2 linked regions of the Drosophila melanogaster genome follow. The protein of the gene in region 1 interacts with the protein of each later gene in a pairwise test. Each region holds a gene or a part of one and is shown in the gene's direction. Other genes may lie near its edges.

Region 1 (10,361 bases):
TTTAATCGGAAAAAGTTCGTCTGCAGCATGACCGGGACGCCATCGGTTCCCTTCTTGGATACCAGCTCAGCCGGACGGGTATTCAGGTAATCATATTGGTCACCCCACGGCTTTCGCTCTGTCGGGCCACCTTCACGCCTGGGAGCTTCCTCGAGAGCTCTTCTCTCTCTTGAAGCCTCTATACGAGGATCCGCTCTCGGGTCACCTGATGAAGATCCTCTGAATACTTTCACCCGCTGCATGAAAGCATTAAATGATGTAAGTTACTCATTTAAAAAAAATTATAATATTAGATATAGAGGACGCTGTCTCCTAATAGAAGTGAATGACTGCACACTAGCTCCACCTAGCGGCAGTTATGAATAATTGACGCCGATGGAAAAAATAACATAGAAGAAAGAGAGAGATCGTGCGAGATTCAGCAATAAACACGAGACAGCAATAAACACCAGAAAGACTCAACTTTGTACATTGAAAACAATCGCGATGAACAATCAAAAAGTATTACCTGTTTATTATTTATTATTAAAAGAAAAAATATTAAGGGGTTTAAACAAATAGTTGTGATTCCTAAATGTGAGCCATTTAAACAACTACCTAAAGTACGACAGATTTTAAATCATAAAACTAACGGTCAAGCTACGAAAATATTGTTACTCATAATCAAAGATGAAGCAGAAAAAAAATGGTAAAAAATAGTTTTTGTAGTATGCTTTGCCTGCAATTTCAGAGTATATCAATGCTGAAAGCCATCTCAAAGTTGTATAGAATTGGGATGAATATCGGAGAAATACCCGTTACTCGTAGAGTTTCTAGGAATCAAATGTATGTGACAGATAGAAGGAAGCGTTTCCGACCATGATTTTTGATGAGTATCACTAGCCGGGTCCATTTGGTCATGTCCGTCCATATCAACGTCGGGCATGCAGATTCCAAAGACATAGACTGCAAGGGTAAATAAGATTCGGCTTGCCACAGCCACCTTCCTGTCAGGTGATGGTTATTTTAGCAGTTTTTATTAAAAAAAAATAAATGAAACGAAACAGATAATGCTTTACATTTCCTTGGAAATTCAAATTGAAAGAAGCGTTTTTGGAAATATGTTTAATGAATTCCCTTTGAAAAAAGTGCTTGGTCAACAGAAATTCAAGAAGATTTTATGCAGTCAAGCTCAAATTCATAGCAGATTTTTGTTTGTTAGTTTTAGTGCTTCCTTTTGGTGTCGAATTCCGAAGAAATGCGCGCATTTACAATCTATGTACATGGCTGTGTTTGTGTTTGCGACATAACGGAATTATAAGGAATTTGCTTTACCGCTATGATTTTTTTTCCTAGCTTGAATAAGAGTTTACATACCGGCCCATCACCACTACCTCGGGAAGTAGAGGAATCATCTTCGTTAAGTGGACGCCTGCGTCCACGTCCCTGATCATCAGCCATTGTTACTTTTTGGCACTCGCGATCACTTAAAACTTCACAATGGAAACTGAAAGAGTACTTTGAAAACGACGCTTTGGACTCAGTGTGACCAAATGGCCAGATTTCAAAGATCGTTAAGCTTTTGGAATGTGTAGATATTAGTCTTCACAACTGAAAACAATCGCTTTTGCAAATCTTCGCAATAGGTTCTATTTCCCTAGTATTTATTTTTTGGTACTTCGAGCTTTGATTTCTTTCTGTTCTGTTTTTTTAAAAGTATAGAAATACATAAAAAAAAATTATTTAACTCCAAAAGTACATAACGTGCTTAAAAAAAATAAAAGTATTAATTTACTTACTTACATTTTTTTAATTAACAACATTTAAAAAGATTATTTTTAAAGTGTAAAGTTTCATCATAAAATTTCAATCGTTGCAAGAGCCTTAAATACCGCATGTACGTATGAGGTATTTTCTAATATATACAAAACAGCCACCCTGCTATGCAAGTAAACAAGTGAAAATGGAAGATATACAAAGATTTCAAAGGTCTCTAAAAGACTTTGATTATTTCAAAGACTTTCAATGTTTTCTGAATATCAAACACAATTCTCGAGCGCGGGCAACGCATATAAAGAAAAGGAACCCAAGATTTAATCCATTGACCGATCTAAATGAGCATAAATTTCGACTAAAGTACCGATACACTAAGGAAAACCTTCGCAGAATTATTGAAATTGTACGGGATGACTTGGAAATTGAATATTTTGAGCCGTTAAAGAGGGAGCAAGTTCCAATAGATTTGCAGATTCTATCCGCTATTCGCTTGTGGGGCGGCACAGAGGTACAGTAAACATTTCTGTATGCCAGACTCGCGAATTTGTATGTACATCAAAACCGTGTGAACTGGCTTTCAAAATTGCCCGCCAAAAATGAAAACTAAGATTTGTTACTAAATTTTTTTCTTATTTAAGCACCCCAAATTAACTGCAATGGCCCATGGCGTTAGTTTACGCACTTTGGCAAAAATAACTAGGCGCGTGGCATCTGTCCTATCATCGAAAGCTTCCAGGTATATCCGAATGCCGGCTACTCTATCGGAAAAGGAGCGATCTGGTTCGGCGTTTCAAGCAATTGCCAATATGCCGCAAGTCATTGGTGCTTTACTACAGACAACTGTGAGGTTTCAACCGGAAAACTGTGCCCCTGATCTGGATGGAGAGGAGCTTTTGCCCGCCCTTACCAGCCGGGAGGAGGAACTTCACATTCAGATTGTTTGCGATGCGGCTCATAAGATAAGGGACCTTGATATCCGACTGATCGATGAGCAGTCCATGCTCACCGACACCGAGATGTTCGGTCTGTCCAAAATAAAGGATCGATTCGAACAGAACGAGTTCCGGGGTCGTATTTTGCTGGGCAACGAAATGGTGCGCTGCTCCTCCTCCCTGTTCACACCGGTTCGATTCCCGAGGAACCAATCCGAGGAGCTGTATAACCACGCCCACGCGGTCACCTACGCATCGGCTAGAAAGTGTCTCAATCTGCTGATGAGTCGCTTCGGTATCCTTGCCACCGAAATCCAGGGTTCCCATGGATCTGCAAAGCAAACGATTACGGCGTTGGCCATACTCCACAACATGGCCATGGAGTGGGTCGATCCAAGCATTGGTAAGCTAACTAATGCTATAGATCCTAAAGTGCTCATTGTTTATTGGTTTTCATTTATCTTTTTAGATACGGAACAGAACATTTCACCCTTTAATTCCACTTTCTTCAATTCCATAGGAAGGTCACCAAAATCCGGAGATGACAACAATCGAAGACAATTCATTAAAACCCATTTTGCTTGCTAATAAATAAGAGTTCTTGCAAACAGAACCCATTACGAATACAATTTGTAACTTTCAGTATTAAAATTATTAAAAACAAACCTATGATGTCGATTTTCCTTACGTGTTTTTCCGATTCAAAACCAGGCTAAACGGGTAAAGTGAGCGATTAAAACGGTTTCTTCGGGAAGTCCCCTATCGGCCGAACAGCTGGTGCGTGCGCAATCGGTATCTATCGCGAGGTGGCAGTTTGAGGTGCTCACGCTGCCATCTCCAAACTGTGCACATGGATATTCTGTTCTTCAATAAAACAGTAGTTTAGTTTTTTGTTGTCATAGGCTGTGAAAAGTTTTAGTGAACGTTTAAGAATTTCACGCTTAACTGGAAGCTACCAAATAATCCAATATATTTATTAGACAAAATTGTGCATTTGCTATTAGTTATATTGTAGGTATATTGTGCCTCCGCAATCATTATGATTATAAAGGATGTGTGTTCGATTTGCATTTCAGTTTTTGCCTCCATTTTACATACATTTACACCTGGCGCATTTTTCGTGCTGGCAATGTAATCACACCGAGCTAGCTGACGACAAGTGCCAGTGACCTAGATTTTGGGAGTCCTGCGCTTGGGTAGAGTAACGACACCACCACCGCCACCGCAATCCTGCTCCGTGCCCGTTAATCCTTCCAGCTGCAGCAACAAAGTAAAGGTCACAAATCGCGAGGCAAGTAAGTTTTTGTACATATGACCTGGTTTACGGAGTGGCAGCTACGCTTGGTAGCCCAGGGTGATGGCGGGGTTAATCTATATTGTATATTCACCGCCAGAGTGGCATACTATGCATTCTGGCTTCTCTCTATCTATCCACCAGATATGATTAATCCGCATCCGTAAACTTACGTCCAAATCCGATCAGAAATCATTCACAGCATTTAAAACCTGTTTGTAGGCCTTTTTTTGGGTTAGCGGAGTCAGAGATCACATCGAGCTTAGTACGTACCCCTCAACAGATATATGACTGGGTGACCAGGATCTGACATGCGTAACAACAGCGGCTATCATATCCCAGCTAGCAACAGTCTGAACAACAATGGAGCCCCGGCGTCACGTTACTGCAATGCGGACAATACGTTTTGCTACTATAGCTACGATAACTGCAACCTGATCGCTCCAGCGTGGGGCAATCGCCAGAACCAGAATCAAAATTCAGTGCCCAACCAGAACCATAATCTGCCGACAAAGAGAATTCCCACCAAGCAATCGGCCAGATCAAGCTACCACCAATCGGCGGCCAATTCGGCGCCGGACTCATCACTGTTTACCGATGCATTTGGCCAGCAATCGTTGGTCAACCAGCGGATAGCTGGCAACAAGAGCTGCGAGTACGTCTATCAGACGGTACAGCGATCGGAGGATCAGCATTCCAATAGGCAGTACAAGCAGGCAAGGTCATATGCCGTAGACAAGGAGCAACAGCAGCAGATGTTGTTGCAGCCATCCATCGTATACTTTGATGCGGAGCTAAAGAAACGGAAAGACCGAGGGGGACGTGTGTCCAACGATTATGTGGACAATAGTCCGGACCGATATCGGCCACTCAATTCCCCCTCACCAGAGCCGACCTGGGATAACATACTGTAATTTATGCAAATGCCTTTTTGTTAATTGTCCTGCTTGTTGAAACTACATACCTCCAGTACACGCACACACACACGTATTTTGTTGTTGTTGTGTTCGAGTCTTAAAGTTACAATTTGGAAAACTACAGATAGATACCACACAACACTCTAGTTGCGAGTACATTAACAATATATCCACAGACACTCATTGAACATACATAGATGTGTAAACAATAAACAGTTTCCTTTGTTCCCCATGTTGTAAATAACCGCCTTCCATTCTCGTTTTTCAGCTCGGAACGCCCGGTCCAGTATCAGACGACAAACCAGCACTATCAGCACTATTTTTCGTACTTCTACAACCGTGGAGCGGAGAAACTGTCCAAGCCAACGTTTGCCGCTGCCAATAGCCGCAAAGTGCCAATGAGTAAATTTCAAAAGGCCGGCGCCAGTCGCAGGGATTCGCGAGAAGTCGATGGCACAGTTATCATTGGACGAAGGGACAATTCCGAGGACAGGACCTGGCAGGGTCAAAAGTATGAGAAGCACGTGCTAAAGGAAAAGCTCCCAAGCAATGATTTAAAAGCCGATTACCTAGACAATGGCTGGGGAGGAGACCCTGGAAGCGAAGATGACTACAGGGACATTAAAGATAGCTATGACCCCGTTGTTGTAATTGACAATGGGCTGGAGCAGGTCGGAGTACATCGGCGCTACTGCAGAATGACCGAAAATACGGTCCTGGATGGCTCCGGAGACACGCTTATTAATAACAACAATAATGAATTAAAGATTATGCGTAAGTCGACGGATCAGCCCATGCCACGGTTGCCCATGACGCCAAAGAGGGCCAAAGGTGGGACCGTGTCTACCAAAAAGCCAATGCCCACGGTTCACCGAGTCCTGCTGTACAGCACTCAGAGTCCACGGCTCGGCCGCAAGCAGCAGTTCAGCACCCAGCGGCTAAGTGTAAAGCAGCAGAGCTCCAAGGTACTGGGTGCAGGTGATGAAAGACAGACGGTCTTATTGCTGGAGCCGGAACACAAACAGGAAGATCACCGTAGTGCCATTGACTTCGATCGTAATGACGACTTCGACGAAGATGATGATCTCGACAATTGTAAGAATTGTTAACCTTAGATCTATTTTTTTTAATTAATTGATAATTAACTAATTTGTACTTCATTGTTTAACCAAATAATAGTATCAAATTTCGACGAAAGCGACACGGCGAGTGTTTTGTCAGACACTGAGGACGGTTATCGTGCCCATGCCTTCAAGCTTACCCACTCTGTGGATCGATTTTCATCGCCCCAAAGCACGCCCAGCTTCTTGTCTTCGCAGTCGTCTGAGGATGATCTGAAAAATCCGGATTCCCTTCTGGTTCCCAGTTTGTTTCCCTACGTGCCCCCTTATTTGTCTTTTTCGTCGAACACAAAAAGAGGTCCACGCGTGCCGCCGGATCTTCATCGCGTTTTGAAGTGGCGCATTACAAACATAATGCCAAAGGTAGTTCGTCTGATTCTGGCCAACAGCGGAATGCGAATGCTAAAGAGTGAGTTTCTACATAATAATCAGATATCAATTAATATGTATTTTCGCAAGTAGAAACCAACGACTGGATGGGCGTATGGGGAAAGCATTTAAAGTCACCGTGTTTTAAGGCCATTCGTTCGTATCAGAAAATTAATCACTTGCCCGGTTCATTTCGCATCGGCCGAAAGGATTCGTGCTGGAAGAATCTGCAAAGGCAGATGGGTAAGCACAGCAACAAGGAATTCGGGTTCATGCCACGCACATACATTATTCCCAATGATCTGGGAGCGCTGCGCCGGCACTGGCCGAAATATGCCCAGCGAAATACTAAGTGGATTATAAAGCCACCAGCTAGTGCTCGGGGTGCTGGCATCAGGGTTATCAACCGATGGGGCCAGATACCCAAGAGAAGGCCCCTTATCGTACAAAAGTATGTAGCATCTAAGGATCAAAAGCTTCGGAAACATAATAATTATTCCCGATTTGTTTTACATAGGTATATAGAGCGACCGCTTCTAATAAATGGTAGTAAATTTGATCTGCGTCTGTATGTCTTGGTTACATCAGTGAATCCCTTGCGAGTGTTCATGTACCACAACGGATTGGCACGGTTCGCTTCAGGTAAGTAAATATTTATCTAAAATCGAGTGAGCCGTATATTAACCCAAAGGAAACTATACTATGTATATTCAGTAAAGTACAGCGCTAAAACGGACACTTTGAATGATCGGTGTATGCATTTGACCAACTACAGCATCAATAAGTTTTCCTCGAACTATTCGAAGAACGAAGACGTCAATGCCTGCCACGGACATAAGTGGACTATCAAGTCGCTGTGGACGTATTTGGCGAATCGTGGAGTGCGTACCGACTGTCTGTGGGAGGCTCTGAGGAGTTTGGTGCTTCGGACAATTCTTGCTGGCGAGAATGGCATTAATAGCATGATTAGAGCAAATGTTGAATCAAAGTACAGCTGCTTCGAGCTATTCGGCTTCGATGTTATTCTGGACTCTGATCTTGTGCCTTGGCTGTTGGAAGTTAATATTTCGCCCAGTTTACACTCGGAACTGCCCCTAGATGCTCATGTTAAAGCGCCTTTAGTGCAGGGCGTTCTTAATACAGCGCTGTACAACGTAAGTGCTGGCATTTTACATATGAATTTAGAACGTATAACTATATATATGATGATACATATTTTAAGGTACCTCCAAAACTATCGCTTGATAAGCAAAAAGAACTGGCCGCAGAATTTTCCTTTCCTCCCGGCACACAAATGTGCTATGACAAGCGGCTTTACATTAACTACTTGTCGCGCGAGGAAAAGATCAAACATAACACATTTACCCGAAAGTCTATGGAAGACCGGAATGAGGTGAGGCGCAAATTTGATACTCCAAATGGATAGGTTGCTAATCATACTATAACATTTAATACAACACAGTATGTGGATGCGATCCTAAATAATCTGACCCCCGATGATGTGAGGTGCCTTATCATAGCCGAGGATGAACTAGCGCGATGTGCACCGCTGGAGCGCATCTTTCCAACTGATCAAACCCATAAGTACCTTAAATACAACGACACTCCGCGGTATTACAATCGCCTTTTGGATGCCTGGGAATCCCGCTACGCTAACAATCGCACAGAAGGGATAGCGTTGTTGCGCGATTATTGTCAAAACAAATATCATCTTCAAGTCCCAACTCCTCCAGCCAAAAAGGTGAGATCTTTATTCATCAATAGTGCAGAAGCTTTTCACAAGACCCATTTAAATGAATCGTAAACTATACAAAACAAATATGTAGGTCAGGATATTTTTTTTTTTAAATACTACAAGTATCTTAAGTTATTATCCTATTTTATTTATAATAAACCTAATTTGTGAAAGCAAGTGCATATTGCACTGCATTCTATACATACACTAAGTATTTGCCCACGTTTTAATTATTTTGTACACAAAAATACTGTTCTAAAAATCAGTTAAAATATTCATAAATTCTCGACTACTTTTGTTAAATTTTGAGGGCTGTTGGAGATTTATACAATCGTTCTTTTGGCGGTGCCGCGCTCTTTGCCATAGTAAGTCTTATCTGTTGACCACGCAGAGTCATCGTAAAATAAAATCTCGAATATTAGTAGATAGATGAAAACCAGTAAGCTTGTTATAATATTTGTACTGTCTTTATTTAAAATATATCCAGGACAACAAAGTGTATTTGTCATCTCTACCGGTTAACTACCATAACGTAAAAATCTTTTGTTTTCTTTACCAGTAATGCATAGGTAAATAACGAAGCTTAAATAAAATTACAAGTAGAGGGATGGTCAAATAGTGATGTTCTCTTTTGCCGACAGGCCCCATATGCATATAGTTATAAATCCAGATGTTCTATGTAATTGAAATGTTCCTATAGCAAATAACTTTTAACAGAAACTGCTCACCGAATCCATATGTATTTCATTGCATTGCGTTGCCTTCTTGTTTGTGTTTTTCTGTTCGACGTTACCATCACTATAATTTCTTTTTATGTCTCTGCGTATATGAAGTATGTTGAAGGTGATCACACTGCATATTCCTTACACCTGAGTCCAGAACAAGACTTTCTTCCAGCGTCAGGTGGGTCTTTAAATGGTAATATACCTCAATCGGCTGTCCATAACTAGCTTTTCCAACGCGCCGACCTCAAATCTTTCACAAAAAAAACAAAAAAAATAAAAAAAAATAACATTTTAATAAACATATTTACGCAAATTTTCCAACCCGGACCATCGCAAAGTAAACTGCGCCTGATGATTTATATCCATAGCGAATGTAGTGTGTTTTTGAAAGAAAATTTCCATATAATCATTATATTATAAGGTTTATAATTCCACGGACTTCTTACCTTTTTTTTTCGAACTCATTTGACCAATAGTTAACTCACAAAAATAATGTATAACAATGCTTATACCTTTTGTTAATATTGATTGGTTATGCAAAACATGTTTTTTCTCTCCATGTAGCGAAAAGCGTATAGTTAGAAATTTATCGTTCAACACAAATATGCAGAGAAAAACATTTTAAATATTCTCTTGTTACCACTTTTTGAGTTGCCCAATTTATAAAATATAAAAAAAATATCAAATAGCTTAAGTTTGAAAAATAAAAGTATTTTTGATAGAACATTTACAAAAAGAAAAACAAAAACAAAAAATTTTTTTTTTTGACATACGCAGTCAACCGTCTTATTATTTAAGTATACCTGCAAAGTTAGCTTTCGAAAAGTCATAAATACACTGAGCATTTTCTAAATGTTTTGCCATCTTGAACAATCACTCATTTAGTGGAAATCAACATTTGAATATTGCTGCTACAGAAAAACAACTCAATACTCGTTTATTATTTGTATATTTATCCAAAACATCCCCTCATTTTGATACCGTGCAAATCATGTCAATGTAATTCTTTTCTTTTCAATTTATAAAGAGTTAAACGAGTTTTTTATTGTCTAATTGTTGATGCAATTAAATCAATTTGTTTTGCTGTAATTGTAAATTTGCAGGATTACTTCATCAAGTTTATGAGATGGATTTTAAAGTGACAGTCGCTGCCATCGTATTATTGGTAGTCATTATTGTTATTGTTAGTGCAATTACCTTAGTCTTAATAACACATGTATATATTTGATATTTAATATTAATAAATTCAGATGTACTTGCAAATAGGCTATTCAAATACTTAAATCAAAATGTACTCTGTTGGGACATTACCAAAATTGCATAATTCGTAACTAAATTGTGATCTTTTTTTTTATAATAGATTGGACTAGTGTTATTGCTAATACTGAACTTAATATATAGTTCTTAGTAATCAGTAAATATGTTGTTATTGATTAATTATAGTGAACTGCCAATTATTTAAATCAACAATAAATGAGCTGTTTACAAAGTCAAAAAATAATAAACTCCAATC
Region 2 (13,481 bases), on another chromosome or scaffold:
CACAGGGACAAGAAGAAGAAGCCGAGCAGCGCCGAGAACTCGAACCCGAACGCACAGACCGAGCAGCCGCCGAACCAGATCCTCTTCCTCACCAATCTGCCCGAGGAGACCAACGAGATGATGCTGTCCATGCTGTTCAATCAGTTCCCCGGCTTCAAGGAGGTGCGTCTTGTGCCGAATCGTCACGACATCGCCTTTGTGGAGTTCACCACCGAGTTGCAGAGCAATGCCGCCAAGGAGGCGCTGCAGGGCTTCAAGATTACGCCGACGCACGCCATGAAGATAACGTTCGCCAAGAAGTGAACGCAACTCCAGTCGCCGGGCGTTCCAGCAACTCCAATAATAATTTAAACTATAGAATAAATCGATATAAACAAACAAACTACGAGTATTCCATATGCCCATATCCCTCCCATATCCCATTTCGCCCAAAGATCCTTAAAGGCAAAAGTATAGAATAGAATAGTTGATTGTTTATTGTGTAGATCTATTTGTTTGTCTGCAAACTTATAACTAACAGCTAGTAATGCGTATTATTTATGTCGGTCGATTGTACATATTTCCATTTAGTGTATAGTATATGGTGTATAGTAGTATATATATATATATATATAGCGTCCCTTTGCTCAGTCTGCATGGTGTATCAAGCTCGCTGCAAAATCAACATCAGTTTGGTGTGCGGGAGCGTGTGTTGAGTAAGTCCCACAAGTCCTCGGATTCCCAAAATGTTTGCTATATGTAGAATCGTTCAGCGACGTAGTCCTCCTCCGCCGTAACAACATCATCAGGCTTACAATTGTAATGCAATCATCATACTTTAGGCACCACAAATGATGAGTATTATGAGTGTGCATAATAAATCTGGGATAAGTGTGTGTATTATATATATATATATATATATATACATCGATAAGTGTGTGTGTGTGTGTGTGTGTGTGTCTATGTATATATATATATATATATCTATTGCTTTCTTCCGTTACGTCTGTTGAATGATGAGCTGCAGGAGAAGGAGCAGGGAATCGGTTATGTGACCACAATGCTTGCACTCCGGCAATCGTACTTACATACATATGTTGTCGTTATGTTCGGAGTGTAATGGTACTTTTGCCTAGTGCTCCAGAACGGCATTCTCGTCGTGGGCGGACACCTCATTAACGTTGTTGTTGTCGTTGTCGCTTTCACTGGACTCGGCGGTCAGATCGACAATGCATTCGCCATCGATATGGACGGCCTTAACGTCGGCCGCTTCATCGGTATAAACGCCGGCATGCTTCTCCATCAATTTGGCCAGCTTATCGGAATTGCAGCCAACGAAGAGCTCCAGCACATTGCCGCCCTTGATGAACACAAAAGTGGGCATGCTATTCACATTGTATTCGACCGTAATGTCCTCGTTCTCGTCCACGTTCACCTTGAGTACGACGACACGGTCCGAGTACTGCTGCGCCAGTTCGTCCAGCTTGGGTGCTATTATCTTGCAAGGTCCGCACCAGTCTGCATAAAAATCAATTACCACCAGCTTGTCCTCGGCGAGGATTAGCTGCTGGTCAAGATCGTCCTTGTTCCGCACTGGGTACACCATGACTTTAACTAAATTCCAAACGGATTGCAAATCGAAACGAAACAAAAAAAAAAAAAAATGGGAAGAGAAGAAAGAAAAAAAAAAGGAAAATGTTAGAAAATCTTGTTTTGGGTGTAAAATTCACTTGATTTGTTTTGTTACTTTTGAATTTTAATGGAGCTCTGCCCTCGCCGAGATATCAGCCCGAAATGAAAATTGTAGGGCGGCAGGCGTTCTTTTATACAGTTTTCGCCAAATATTTTGCGGCCTTCTTGGATTGAAAAAAAAGTGTTTTCAAATGTCAGCGGCGCGGTGTGTTGAGGTGAGTTTGGCTTCGAACCTACCACGGCTATGGCAACACTCGAGGAAAATATTAGTACTATGTCGTGTGACGCCATTATTTTGCCATAATTACGATAATAATATTCATATCGATATCGATAGACCTGCCGTGGTGAATAAGTATGTTCCCCACCCCCCAACACACTCGGTTGGCTTTCCCAACGACCTGGCAACCCTAACACGCCCGCCATTTTGCACTCTCCATGGGCCGCCATTTTGTTTAGCGGCCACGCGAGAATTCAGCATGCAAATTGGCGGGAATTCCACTCTACACACCGCCACTTGGAGACCCCTATAAAGTCGCCTACGCAGCCGCCATTTCAATCAGTTCACAATTTGCAGCGAAAGCGCCAACAGCCCCATCACGTCAAGTTCTTTAATTTAAAAAAAAGAAGAAAAACACTTTGCTAATCCTCGCGACATAAAAATGGCATCCGTACGCACCATGAACGACTATCACAAGCGCATCGAGGCGGCCGACGACAAGCTAATCGTGCTGGATTTCTATGCGACATGGTGTGGTCCCTGCAAGGAAATGGAGAGCACCGTCAAATCGCTGGCCAGAAAATACTCCAGCAAGGCGGTGGTGCTCAAGATCGATGTGGACAAATTCGAGGAGCTGACGGAGCGCTACAAGGTGCGCAGCATGCCAACGTTTGTCTTTTTGCGCCAAAATCGACGCTTGGCCTCCTTTGCCGGCGCCGACGAGCACAAGCTGACCAACATGATGGCCAAGCTGGTGAAGGCGTAAGCAGCAATCCTGCCCAGCAATTAGCAATCAGCAGCGCATCTTTTTTTTTTTACTTATTTAACTCATCTTTTAAACATGTTCGCCTCATTTGTGTTCGTTTATGTATTCGATGTTATGTGTATGCTCATGTGATGTTTAGCTTGTAAGCGCGAGATGTGGGTAGCAGGAGATGCAGTGCAGCCAACAGCAGTGACCAGATGATATATGCTATGCTACTACTACTACTTATATGCTATGATTTGTGGCGCGGAGGCGTGTCTGCGACACATAATCCCGCCCATTTAGCTTTAAGATTCAGGCACTAAGAAGCAATTCGATCAATAAATTATTGTAACCACTCTGGACATTTAAATGTTAACATGGAATCAGCTTTGTTTTTTTTTTGCCCACAGCATTTGGATTGTTAACCAAGTAGGCGCTGCGTGGTCATGTCATTTCGGGTTCCAGCAACATTTGGCATTTGCTAACCAAACTTGAGATCACACACACGAAAAACAAAAAATCCCAAACATTCCGCAGCACAAATTCAATCAAATCCAAAACGCACATTTCGGTCGCATCCAAATTGTACGGATTTCGTTAGTAAATAAAAATCAAATTTCGTGTAAATCCAATCCATAATCCGTGGTAGAGTAGAAACCACACCATCATGTCGTATCAGATCAAATCGACGCCCTACTTTCGTCGCATGTTCAACGAGAGCAAGAAGAATGGCCAACTGCAGCGTCTGCGTGATGAGTACGAGCGCATCCAGGAGTTCAACGATCGCACCATCGAAATGAAGATGCGACAGGTGCGATTAAAGCGGCTATTTCGCGAGATCGAGGTAATTAAGGTGGCTGGCGGGGCGGCCGGTGGCGCCAGCGGTGGCGGCACATCGACGGCATCATCGCCATCGAATGTTGACCAATCGTTTGGTTTAGCCGGCGGACGCGTTACCCGCCGGAGACGGCAACAGGCACACGGTGCTATCACGCTGGCTAGCAGCACGCCCCAGCAGCGGATGCACAAACAGCGCATAGAGACGCTGGCACGCGCACGCCAACTGGGCCAGGAGATCTCGCGTCGGAATGGCCTAATGGCCGAGGCCGGCACCGGCGGTTTCCTGCGCAGCGAACTCCGGATGACGGCCAAGCTGCAGGCGGCGAACGATGCACGCCGGGCGGCCGTGGAGCGTCGCGACTTGGCCGCCAAGCGCATCTCCTATGGCAACGATCAGTCGCGACAGAATATCCAACGCATGCTCATCCAACGCCAGCGCAGACATGAACAGCAGCAAGCGTTGGCGGCGACAGTAGCATCACCGGCGGCACCGTCATCCAATTCCTACCAGGTGTCCATAGCGCAGCAGCCGGTCACAAGGTATGTAAATCTTCTAGAGAATTGTGGGGTTATGTTCACCTTTGTTTGTTTTTTTGTTTTGGCCAGCAGGCCCAGGCATGAATACACGGACAATTGCCAACAACAGCAGGAACTGCTGGCGGTGACCAGTGAGCGATCGACGGAGCAGGGCGATCATTTGCAGATGGAATGCGAGGGGCAGTCGTACTCGGAGCAAAGCTTCCATTCGAACGACTGTCTGGCGCAATCGATGGACGAGGATCTGGATGGTGAGGAGGAGCTGGAATACACACGCCATCGGCGTGATGGCGACGCGGATGAGGAGCCGGAGCGGCAGTCCTGCCTGGTGACGCTGAACAAGGAAAGATCCACATTGGCAGCCACATCACCGCTGGATATGCGTCGAGTCAAAAGCTCCATTGATTCGTATCGAAAGACGCACCTATCTCCGCTGGCCAGCGGCAGCAATTGGGTTCGGGTTGTTGGTGGCGCCCAATCGTCCACCATTGGATCGCATCAGCCAAGTGGAACGGTGCCGCCGCCGCTAAACGATGAACTGCAGCTGGATTCGCAGTCCAATTCGAGTAGGTGGCATGAGGTCTCAATGATGCTGTCGTGGTTCGGCGCCGCTTCCGACATCCCAACCGACTATGCCGATGCTCCGCCACCCGAGGTGCCCAGTCACTACGATTGCGATTCCATTAGCAATGCGGACGATATGCCAACGCCAACTGTGTGCCGTCGACAGCGCATGTTCGCCGAGCAGCCGAGTGATGCTGCCACACAGGCGCAGGAGGAGCCCTTCTAGCCAGCCGACGAGCGGCAGACGCACTGCAGCACACATCTATTTTTTTTACTGCAATTCGGTATGGAAATCCAAACCATCCAACCAACCAACCAGGCAAGTCTGCAGCGCCTGCAAAGTTCACTTATTTGGCATGCTACGCTAGTTTTGGCTTAGAATTCCCGGCCCATCCTGTCCAGAAGTTGTGCACGTGCACTTGGCTGGCAACCTTTTCGCATCTTTATTTGGTAATAAAATTATGGGTATGGTATTACATTTCACAAATAATAATAAAAAAAAAAAAAGAAAAAAAAAAACAAACAGCAATTTCATGTTCAAGTTACACTTTTCAAATGATGCAGTTCATCCCTGAGATAAATGATTGGCAAACATGCCAGCTTGATGATTTATGTATGTTCCGTCGTCTGGTTTTGTCCTGTTTTCATCATTCCTGCTCCTGCTTCTGCTTCTGCTCCTGGTTGCCCACTAGAAGTGCGTCATTCATTTTTATTTTGAAATGGATTCAGCGCCTTGGGCACATGGTAATCCCTATGGAACGAATGCGAAATCATCATCATCATCATCATCATCATCATAATCGTGCAGCGGCATAATTAGCGGCTCGACCATCCCAAAAGGCTGCAGTTCGGGCGCATAGCAACAGGACTCCAACTTGATCCGCGACTCGATTAGATCGTTGATGGTGGGCACAAAAGTTTCATCATACGATAGCCGCATAGAGAATATACCCTGAGCGGTATCCAGTTCGCCGACATGGGCATACAATACCCTATTGAATGTCATGCGCTGGAATGCGGTGATACCATTTTTTGGCCACCCATTGGCCAATGGGCGTACGTGCGACATTTTGCCGCGAAATACCAATGGCGGTGTGCGCGCAAAGCTTAGTGGGAGGAATCGTAGATGGTTCGGTGCCAATGTGACAGACAGGGCATGATCCACATACTCTATGTTCACACATTGGGCGTCCAACGGTGCGGTGACGAGCACCATGGCACGTCGCCAGCCACACTCGCTGTAGGCGGCGCATATGTAGCCCTCTTTATAGAAATAGCTAGGCAACTCGGCACGGTAGCTGCTGATCGTCGTATGGCGATAGAACCAGCTATGGGCATTAAATAACAATATTATCAATCAATCAGTCAATCAATCGATTTAGTTAGTAGCTTACTTTAGATCAATGGTCATCTCGGCTACAGGATTCTTGGCGTACTGCGGTGGCACAATGTGGAACCAGAACTCACACGGAGAGAACACCTGCGCAAGAAAAAAAAACAAAAAAAAAAAGATTGAACTCCTATTTCAAAGCTGTCTCTTTGCTTGGCACGGGACCAAAGCGCACTCACACAGCTCATGATGATCGGGAAGATAGAGTCCTCCTTGCAGATATCCTGGATACGCTGCGGCGGCAGCTTCCAGTGCATGCCAACGGCATCCATGGGCAGTCCATACATCAGTGCACACAAACTAACATCACCGATATCCGGGAAATCGGAAAACGACGGTATCAGTTCCTTGACAATGTAACCATCCGTCGTTTTTGATTCGAGTCCATCGCTGTCGCTATCGTTGTCCGATGTCGACGCTAGCAGTGTTTCCACTGACGCAGCAGCTTCTGCCACTTGGCTATTGCTATTCATGAAGTCAGCATTGCCGGTGTGCAGTTCATGCATCTTCATTGGGCCAGGATTGTTCATTGCCTGGCGCTCCGACACGGTGGCTAACAACTGCTCCAATGGCTTTCCATTCACCTGGACATCGGCTACATCCGGCGGCACAACGATGTTGCAAAGCATCTTATCGAAAATTCGCACATGGTGCTGGTCGTCAGTCTCAGCCGTCGGCTTGGAATCGGTTGTTTTTAACTCGAGAGCGATCTTTTAAGGGGCGAAAAACTTATTAGTAATTTCTACAATACATATATGTATATATTTCGACGCACATGTGCTTTTTCGAAAACTTTTTGCAAGTCACTCGAATCGGAAATCACAAGCCGTATTTTGGCATTGGGCTGGCGCAAATCGAGTGCTAATTCAATTGTTCCATTGATCTGCTGTTCAGAATTAGCCGGCTTCTTGGAATCGGTAGTTTTTTCCTCCAAAGCGATCTTTTAGAGGAAATTACTTATTAGTATTAACTAAGCATACATGTGTAATTTGAATTTACGTACATCTTCGACAACTTTTAGCATGTCACTCAAATCGGCTAACACTTTGTTATTCCGCATTTTGGCACTGGGGCAGCGCAAATCGAGCGGCACATCATTGTTATCCTCGGCTTCTTCCGAAATTTTTCTCAATTTCGAGAGCAAAGTTTGAAGTCTTCCTTCTTTGACGTCCATCTTGCTTTGCATCCTGATTTTAACTGAATTTCAATTGTGGAACTTTTCCCATGTGGCATCACCGCCGTAAGCTAGACGCTAGAGATGGCAAATGCGCCATCCGCGAAATCCACCACACCAATCGGTCATTGGCGGCTATCGAACGTGTTATCGAGCCGTTTGTTTACGCACGTGTTGTGTTTGATTTAATTTAGTTTTAATTTGTATTTAAACGCACAGAGAGCAGCTAGCAAATGGACAGCGACGGTGACGACTACGTGATGAGCGGCTCCGACCAGGAGTACGATGACGAGGAGCGCGAAATACTCGAAGATCTGCGCAAGCAGCGCAAAAAGCCACATGATCCCGTCCAGGAAGTGCTCGGTTTCAGTGATGATGACGACGACGACGACGACGACGACGAGGAGGAGCAGCAGGATGTGGCGGAACTGATGCGCGACAGTGACATCGAGGGCGCCGAAGACGATGACCGCGATCTGCCCAACACCATGGACTGGGGCAGCAAACGGAGCACGTACTACAACACCGACTTTGTGGACCAGGACTACAGCAGCTACAATGCCCAGGAGGAGGAGCAGGCACGCGCCGAGGAGGAGGAGGCCAAAAAGATCCAGCTGCGTCTGGCCAAGCGCATGAGCGAGGCCGATTTCCAGCTGGACAATGTAGAAGCAGCGCCCGCAGGCAGCAGTGATGACAACGAGCTGAGCCATATAACCAAAGTGACCAGCGATCTGGCCGGCCTATCAGAACGCGAGCGACGACAGCTGATGCACAGTGAGTCGCCGGAGTTCATCATTCTCACCCAGGATTTTCAACAGCATCTCGACGAGGTGAAGAACCTATTGAAACCGGTGCTCAACTACGTTCGCAAACACGATGTGCCCATGGTGCCGGCGCTGCAATATGCCGGACTCTGCCACACCGTGCTCACCACCTACTGCTCCAATGTGGCTTTCTATCTGCTGCTCAAGGCACGTCGCATCGACGTCAAGGCCCATCCGGTGATTAGGCGGCTGGTGCAACTCAAGGATCTGATCGAGGAGCTTAAGCCGCGCTACGAGGAATACATTCGACCGCAGCTGGAGGCGCTGCTGGAGAGGATTGAAGATGGCGATGCATTCACCGTGCTGGATGTGGCACAGCGCAAGGCTAAGCTGCAGATACTCAACAAGTACAACGATGGCCAGCAGGCGTCAGTGAGCTCCGATGATGATGATAATGATGACGATGACGATGCTGAGAGTAAGGAGAAGGATCTGCAAGAGGAGGCTGGTGAGGAGGAGGAAGAGGAGGATGCGCGACGCGGCATCACCTATCAGATGGCCAAGAACAAGGGCCTCACGCCGCACCGCAAAAAGGAGCTGCGCAATCCGCGCGTTAAGCATCGCGGCAAATACCGAAAGGCGCTCATCCGGCGCAAGGGAGCCGTGCGCACGGTGCGCAAGGAGCTGCAGCGCTACGGCGGCGAATTGTCCGGCATCAAGGCCGGCGTCACGAAGAGCGTCAAGTTCCGCACCTAGTTTTTATCCAATAAATCCGCCAAGATCATTACATTTTAATCAACTCGATGTTTGTACACTTGAAACACCCATTTCATCCAAAGACTCACCGGGGATTAGTCAACTAGCTGTCATATGCGAAACAAACAAACATTTTTCTTCACTTGGTTCATCAAGAAACCAATTTATATGAGTCGAAACAAAAATCATTGTCTTACAACAGTTTTTCTCTTTGTACAGTGTTCTCCAACCTTGTCTGTTTAGGTTGCCTTAAATCTAAAAAAATATATGCTCCAAATCTTCGTCTTCGTCTTACAAACTAAACCATGGCCGCTGGCACCGGGCTCAGCCGCCGGCATTTGTCGCCTAATCCTTGAGAAATAGCTTGCGAAAGTCATCGTTTGACTTGGGCACAGCAGCTGGCATCTCCTCTTCTTTTTTCTCATCTCCCTTTTGCTCCACTCCACTTTGCTCCTCTCCTATTTGATCATCTCCTTTTTGCTCCTCTCCTTTTGGCTCCTCTCCTTTTTGCTCCTCTCCTTTTTGCTCCTCTCCTTTTTGCTCATCTCGTTCTTGAACATCTCCTTTTTGCTCCTCTCCATTAGCCTCGCGCTTGATGGCCACGTCGACGGATGCCGAAGTGGATGATATGTCCCCCGGCTCGGGCAGAAGCAAGCGCAGCTTCTTGGCAGCCACCTCTTGGCGCACCAGAGTCGTGGGTATAAGCGAGGTGGGCACACGTCGCTTGGGCGCCACACTTGGCTTGACAGCTGATGTGCCCCTCGGCGGTGGGTTTGAAATGGCCACAGAGATCTGAAAGAGTTGTGAAATGCATTTGCTTTGGTTGGTTCGGTTAAACATGAAGGCACACATCATTCGCTTACATTCATGCCCTTGAATAGACAACCATCTCGTCCAGCCACTGCTCGTTGCGCCTCGCCCGGCTTCTCGAACTCAACGTATGCAATGCCCTTGAACTGCTTGTTTCTGTAGAGGATCAAATAGTTTAAAATCAATAATTGTAATTGTAATCTCGCACTCACAGCTTGTGCACCAGGCGCACATCTTTGATGGTGCCGAAAGGCGAGAAGAGTTCGTGCAGCTCCTCCTTGCTGCAAGCGGGATGCAGATTTCTTACAAAGATCTTATTGATTTCCATGTTGGCTAGAAGAGAGACAACTAATGTAAGTCCTTGAAACGCATGTGTCCAAACGGCATGGCGACTCACGCGAATACTTAAAGTTCGATTCCTTGGCCTCTGCATTCGCTGGCCCCTTGACTTTCGATGGCGGTGACGTAGCTCCACCAGATGGCTCGGTTCTGGACTTCTTAATGCCATGCTTCTGCTGCTGCTGCTGTTGCTGTTGTTGCTCATGCGCCTGGCGACGTCGCTGCTCGCGATTCAGTGGCTCACGATTCGTTTGTTGCTGCTGCTGGCGCGGCTTAAGCTTCTGCTGGCGAGGATAAGCCGACTGTGAGTTGGGCTTAATGCGGGAACGCGGCTTCACATACTCGACAGGCAGATCGAGGGCCTGGCAGGCGGCAATGGACTCGTAGGTGCCATAGCAACGTTCATAGCGGCGAAAAAACTCCTGCACCATAAGGCCATTCTCGAGGACGGGCTGCGAGAGAGCTTTGCGAAGGACATCGCGTGTGCCGTGGCCACCATTGTATTCGCTTTCCATCTGGGCAAAGTTCAGCCAGAGCAGGCCGCGTATCGAGCTGCCCGGATAGCCTAAAGATGAGTAGTTAAAACATTGCTTATGCAATCATATTTCAAAGCGCTCACCCATTATTTGGCGCCAAATCTCACGGCCATTGTCCGGACTCCCCAGTTGCGTGTACTCAACTTGGGCCCACAACTGCAGCACCTCGTACCTGGTGTCCGCCTGGTCGCCGTAGAGCACGGTTAGCTCCTCCCAAGCATGATTGAAGGCGGCACGCAGACTGGCGACCTGCTGCTCATCGCTGGCATTGGTGTTGCGAATACGATAGGCCAGATAGTCCAGATGCAGCTCCACGGTCATATCCATGTCGGTCACAATGCGCTGCAATATGAGACGTATCTCTTCATCCACTTCCGCCAACTCAAAGTCCGAGCGCTCCATTAGGTCGAGGAAACGATGATTCAATTGTACACTGGGATGACTGCGCACACCACGATTGGCCAAATCGAGTTCCGTGTTGCGCAGAAAACCTTTGCCCAAGCGTTTGGCCCGTTTGGCTACCATTTCGGCGGTTACCTCATTCTCATCCTCATTCTCCGGCACAGTGACGCCTTCGAACTGAATGAACTCAATGTAGGATAACCAGAGCACATCGACAATGGGAAACTTGGCCACCGAGCGTTCGAATATGAAACGGATCACAGCGTTTTTGAGGTCATCGTCAAGGGATAATGTCTCCACATCGTAGACATGAGCCTTGTGTTGCTCAGACCAATCCCAACCACGCGTTGTCTCGTCCAGATGTTGCTTAAACTTGTCCACAACGGACTTGATCATCTGCCGCTGCTCCACGTTGCACGTCCAGGTGACGCAGTGCTTTTGCAGCATTTCCACAAAGGCGGCAGCCTCATTTTCGTCCGTAATTGTCGATATCAGCGAACGCAGCTTGTCGCCAAAGTCTGGACGCTCCACGTCGTAGTCCGCCAGCAGTTTGGCCCACAGCACATGGTTCTGTACGTTGCCCTGATCCACCAGGTAGTTGACAACGTATTCGGACAGCGGTATGCCTGCAATATGTAACTCGTCAATTGGTTTAACTACGAATGGATTCTATCTATCGCATACTGTAGTAGTAGCCCAACGCTTTGGCACACTGCTCCTCGAATGCCTTGCGCTCCTCGTCCGTTTGGGTGACGACCAGGCGGGCCTTTAGATACTTCAGCCACACGTGAGCCGGCACAGTGGCCAAATTTTGCAGCTCCAGCACCGATGACTCGATCTTTTCCAGATCATTCAGTTTGCTGCATTAACGAGCATCAACATTAGCTAATGCCGATATTGAAAAAATGGAAAATGGGAGTGGGAGAAGCAGGCAAACTCACAATGCGATTCCAATGAGCGAGACCATTTGGGCAAACTTTTTGCTGGGCAACGCATTCAGCTCCTGATACGAGCGCTCTAGCTGATTTCCGCCGCCAGCGTTGTCGCTATCACTGTCACTGTCACTGGACACCTCACTGTTCGATTCCAATTCCGAGCCTTCGATCACGCCCACATCATCGCTACTGCTGCTGGAATCATTGCGCGCTCTGCCACGGCCAGCGGCATTGCCTCCCTCAGTCTCCTCCACTGACGGCTCGTCGTCCGATGAGATCAACTCAATGGTGGTCATATCCCCGCCGGCGGACGACGGTGGCCAGGTTGGGCGCGATCGTTGGCGCAGCTCCTCCGACTTGTGCTCCTCCTCCTGCTGCGGCGACTCACTGTGCCCCTGCTGCGGCGAGCCCTTGCCCTGATCGGGTATCACGATCAGATCATACTCGTCATACGCATCGTCGTCCAAATCCTCTGCCGGCATCTCGTCCAGCTCCTTCTCCAGCTGCCTTTCCAGCTGCAATATATTGGGCATACGCATAAGGGCGGCGCCTATTGGAGCTATAATCTGACACTCACCTGCTTGTCGGCGTCCATGCTTCAACCGTTTATTTTGGTGGAAAACTTTTCGCTTTCCGTGGAACTGCAATTTTTCCCCCCCAAAAAAAATACAGGAAATAAAAAAACAAAAAAAAAACCGCAAACGCAGGGCTGGCCAATCTAATATCGCGTTGTTGCGCTTATCGTGGAAAATTATTTGGTTTCAGGTTTGGTTTCCCTATTGGGCACTTTTTCTTGGAAAAACTTTCCAAGCACTTACTTTCTGAGAATTCGGTTAACGAAAACTTATCATTTTCTGTCAAGAAACACCGGTAAAGTGTGAATAATATGCGAATTTTTTTTTCGTTATAACAGTGTGACCAGTGCGTAATATCGATAGCTGTGCGCACTCGATAGTTGCGGCAGTCCAGACAATGGCTGTGTTACCAGCAGTGCAGTGAAGACTCGTGATGAGCAATTTGAAGACTAATTTCGGTAATATGTGGTCAATATTAACTGGTTTCTTTGGGCGGTCAGAAATGTATAGCAAAGTCAAATGATAAACTAAATCCTACCAAGAAATATAATTTATTTTAAACATATATATATTTTATAGAAATAAATAAAAATGGAATTTATTTTACTTAAGTGCTATATATATATGTATCATAAAATGTAAACAATTTCTGTTTCTTTTACACAAACTATTTAATAATAATAAACTATTTAATACGCAGCCACATCATAAATGGATTAAGTGTAGACAGTACTCAGGCAAATAATAAAAATATTATACCATTATATGAATGGATTAAGTGTGGACAGTAATTAAGCAAATAATAAATATATTACTATATACTATAATACTATAATAGGAATTGATTAGGTGTAAACAGTAATAAGTCATATAATACATATATTGTATATATTATAGGATATAGTAATAATAATATAATAATAATTAGGCAAATAATAAATACAAATATTATACTATTATAAGAATGGTTTAAGTGTAATAATATTATATATTATATAATAATTAAGCAAATAATAAATATATAATACTATTATAAGAATGGATTAAGTTTAAACAGTAATTAGGCACATAATACATATATTGTATATATTATAGGAATGTATTAAGTGTGGACAGTAATTTAGCAAATAATAAATATATTTTACTATTATAGCAATGGATTAAATGTAGATATTAATTAGGCAGATAATAAATATATACTACTATTATAGGAATTATTT

What was found.
Region 2: the proteins of CG12253 (region 1) and Sas10 interact in a two-hybrid assay, tested with the Drosophila melanogaster proteins (one large-scale study listed by BioGRID).

What each region holds. Positions count from the first base shown.
Region 1 is NT_033779.5:10,985,893-10,996,253, forward strand, and holds CG12253 (uncharacterized protein), read left to right. Parts: upstream 1-1,913; 5' UTR 1,914-1,942; coding exon 1,943-2,263; intron 2,264-2,393; coding exon 2,394-3,090; intron 3,091-3,156; coding exon 3,157-3,275; 3' UTR 3,276-3,349; downstream 3,350-10,361. Other genes in the region: piwi (P-element induced wimpy testis), read right to left, coding at 1-236, 1,357-1,440; TTLL4A (tubulin tyrosine ligase-like 4A), read left to right, coding at 4,293-4,891, 5,167-5,993, 6,078-6,428, 6,482-6,839, 6,906-7,030, 7,103-7,542, 7,611-7,781, 7,851-8,129.
Region 2 is NC_004354.4:5,310,127-5,323,607, forward strand, and holds Sas10 (something about silencing 10), read left to right. Parts: upstream 1-7,282; 5' UTR 7,283-7,377; coding exon 7,378-8,664; 3' UTR 8,665-8,945; downstream 8,946-13,481. Other genes in the region: snf (sans fille), read left to right, coding at 6-303; TrxT (thioredoxin T), read right to left, coding at 1,112-1,585; dhd (deadhead), read left to right, coding at 2,334-2,657; CG4198 (uncharacterized protein), read left to right, coding at 3,307-4,019, 4,086-4,806; CG15930 (uncharacterized protein), read right to left, coding at 5,332-5,908, 5,975-6,060, 6,150-6,680, 6,746-6,910, 6,974-7,156; Rnp4F (RNA-binding protein 4F), read right to left, coding at 9,010-9,456, 9,528-9,630, 9,687-9,807, 9,872-10,378, 10,433-11,377, 11,436-11,611, 11,693-12,201, 12,264-12,281. UniProt on the Drosophila melanogaster protein: Essential for gene silencing: has a role in the structure of silenced chromatin. May be involved in gene regulation during development. Binds RNA.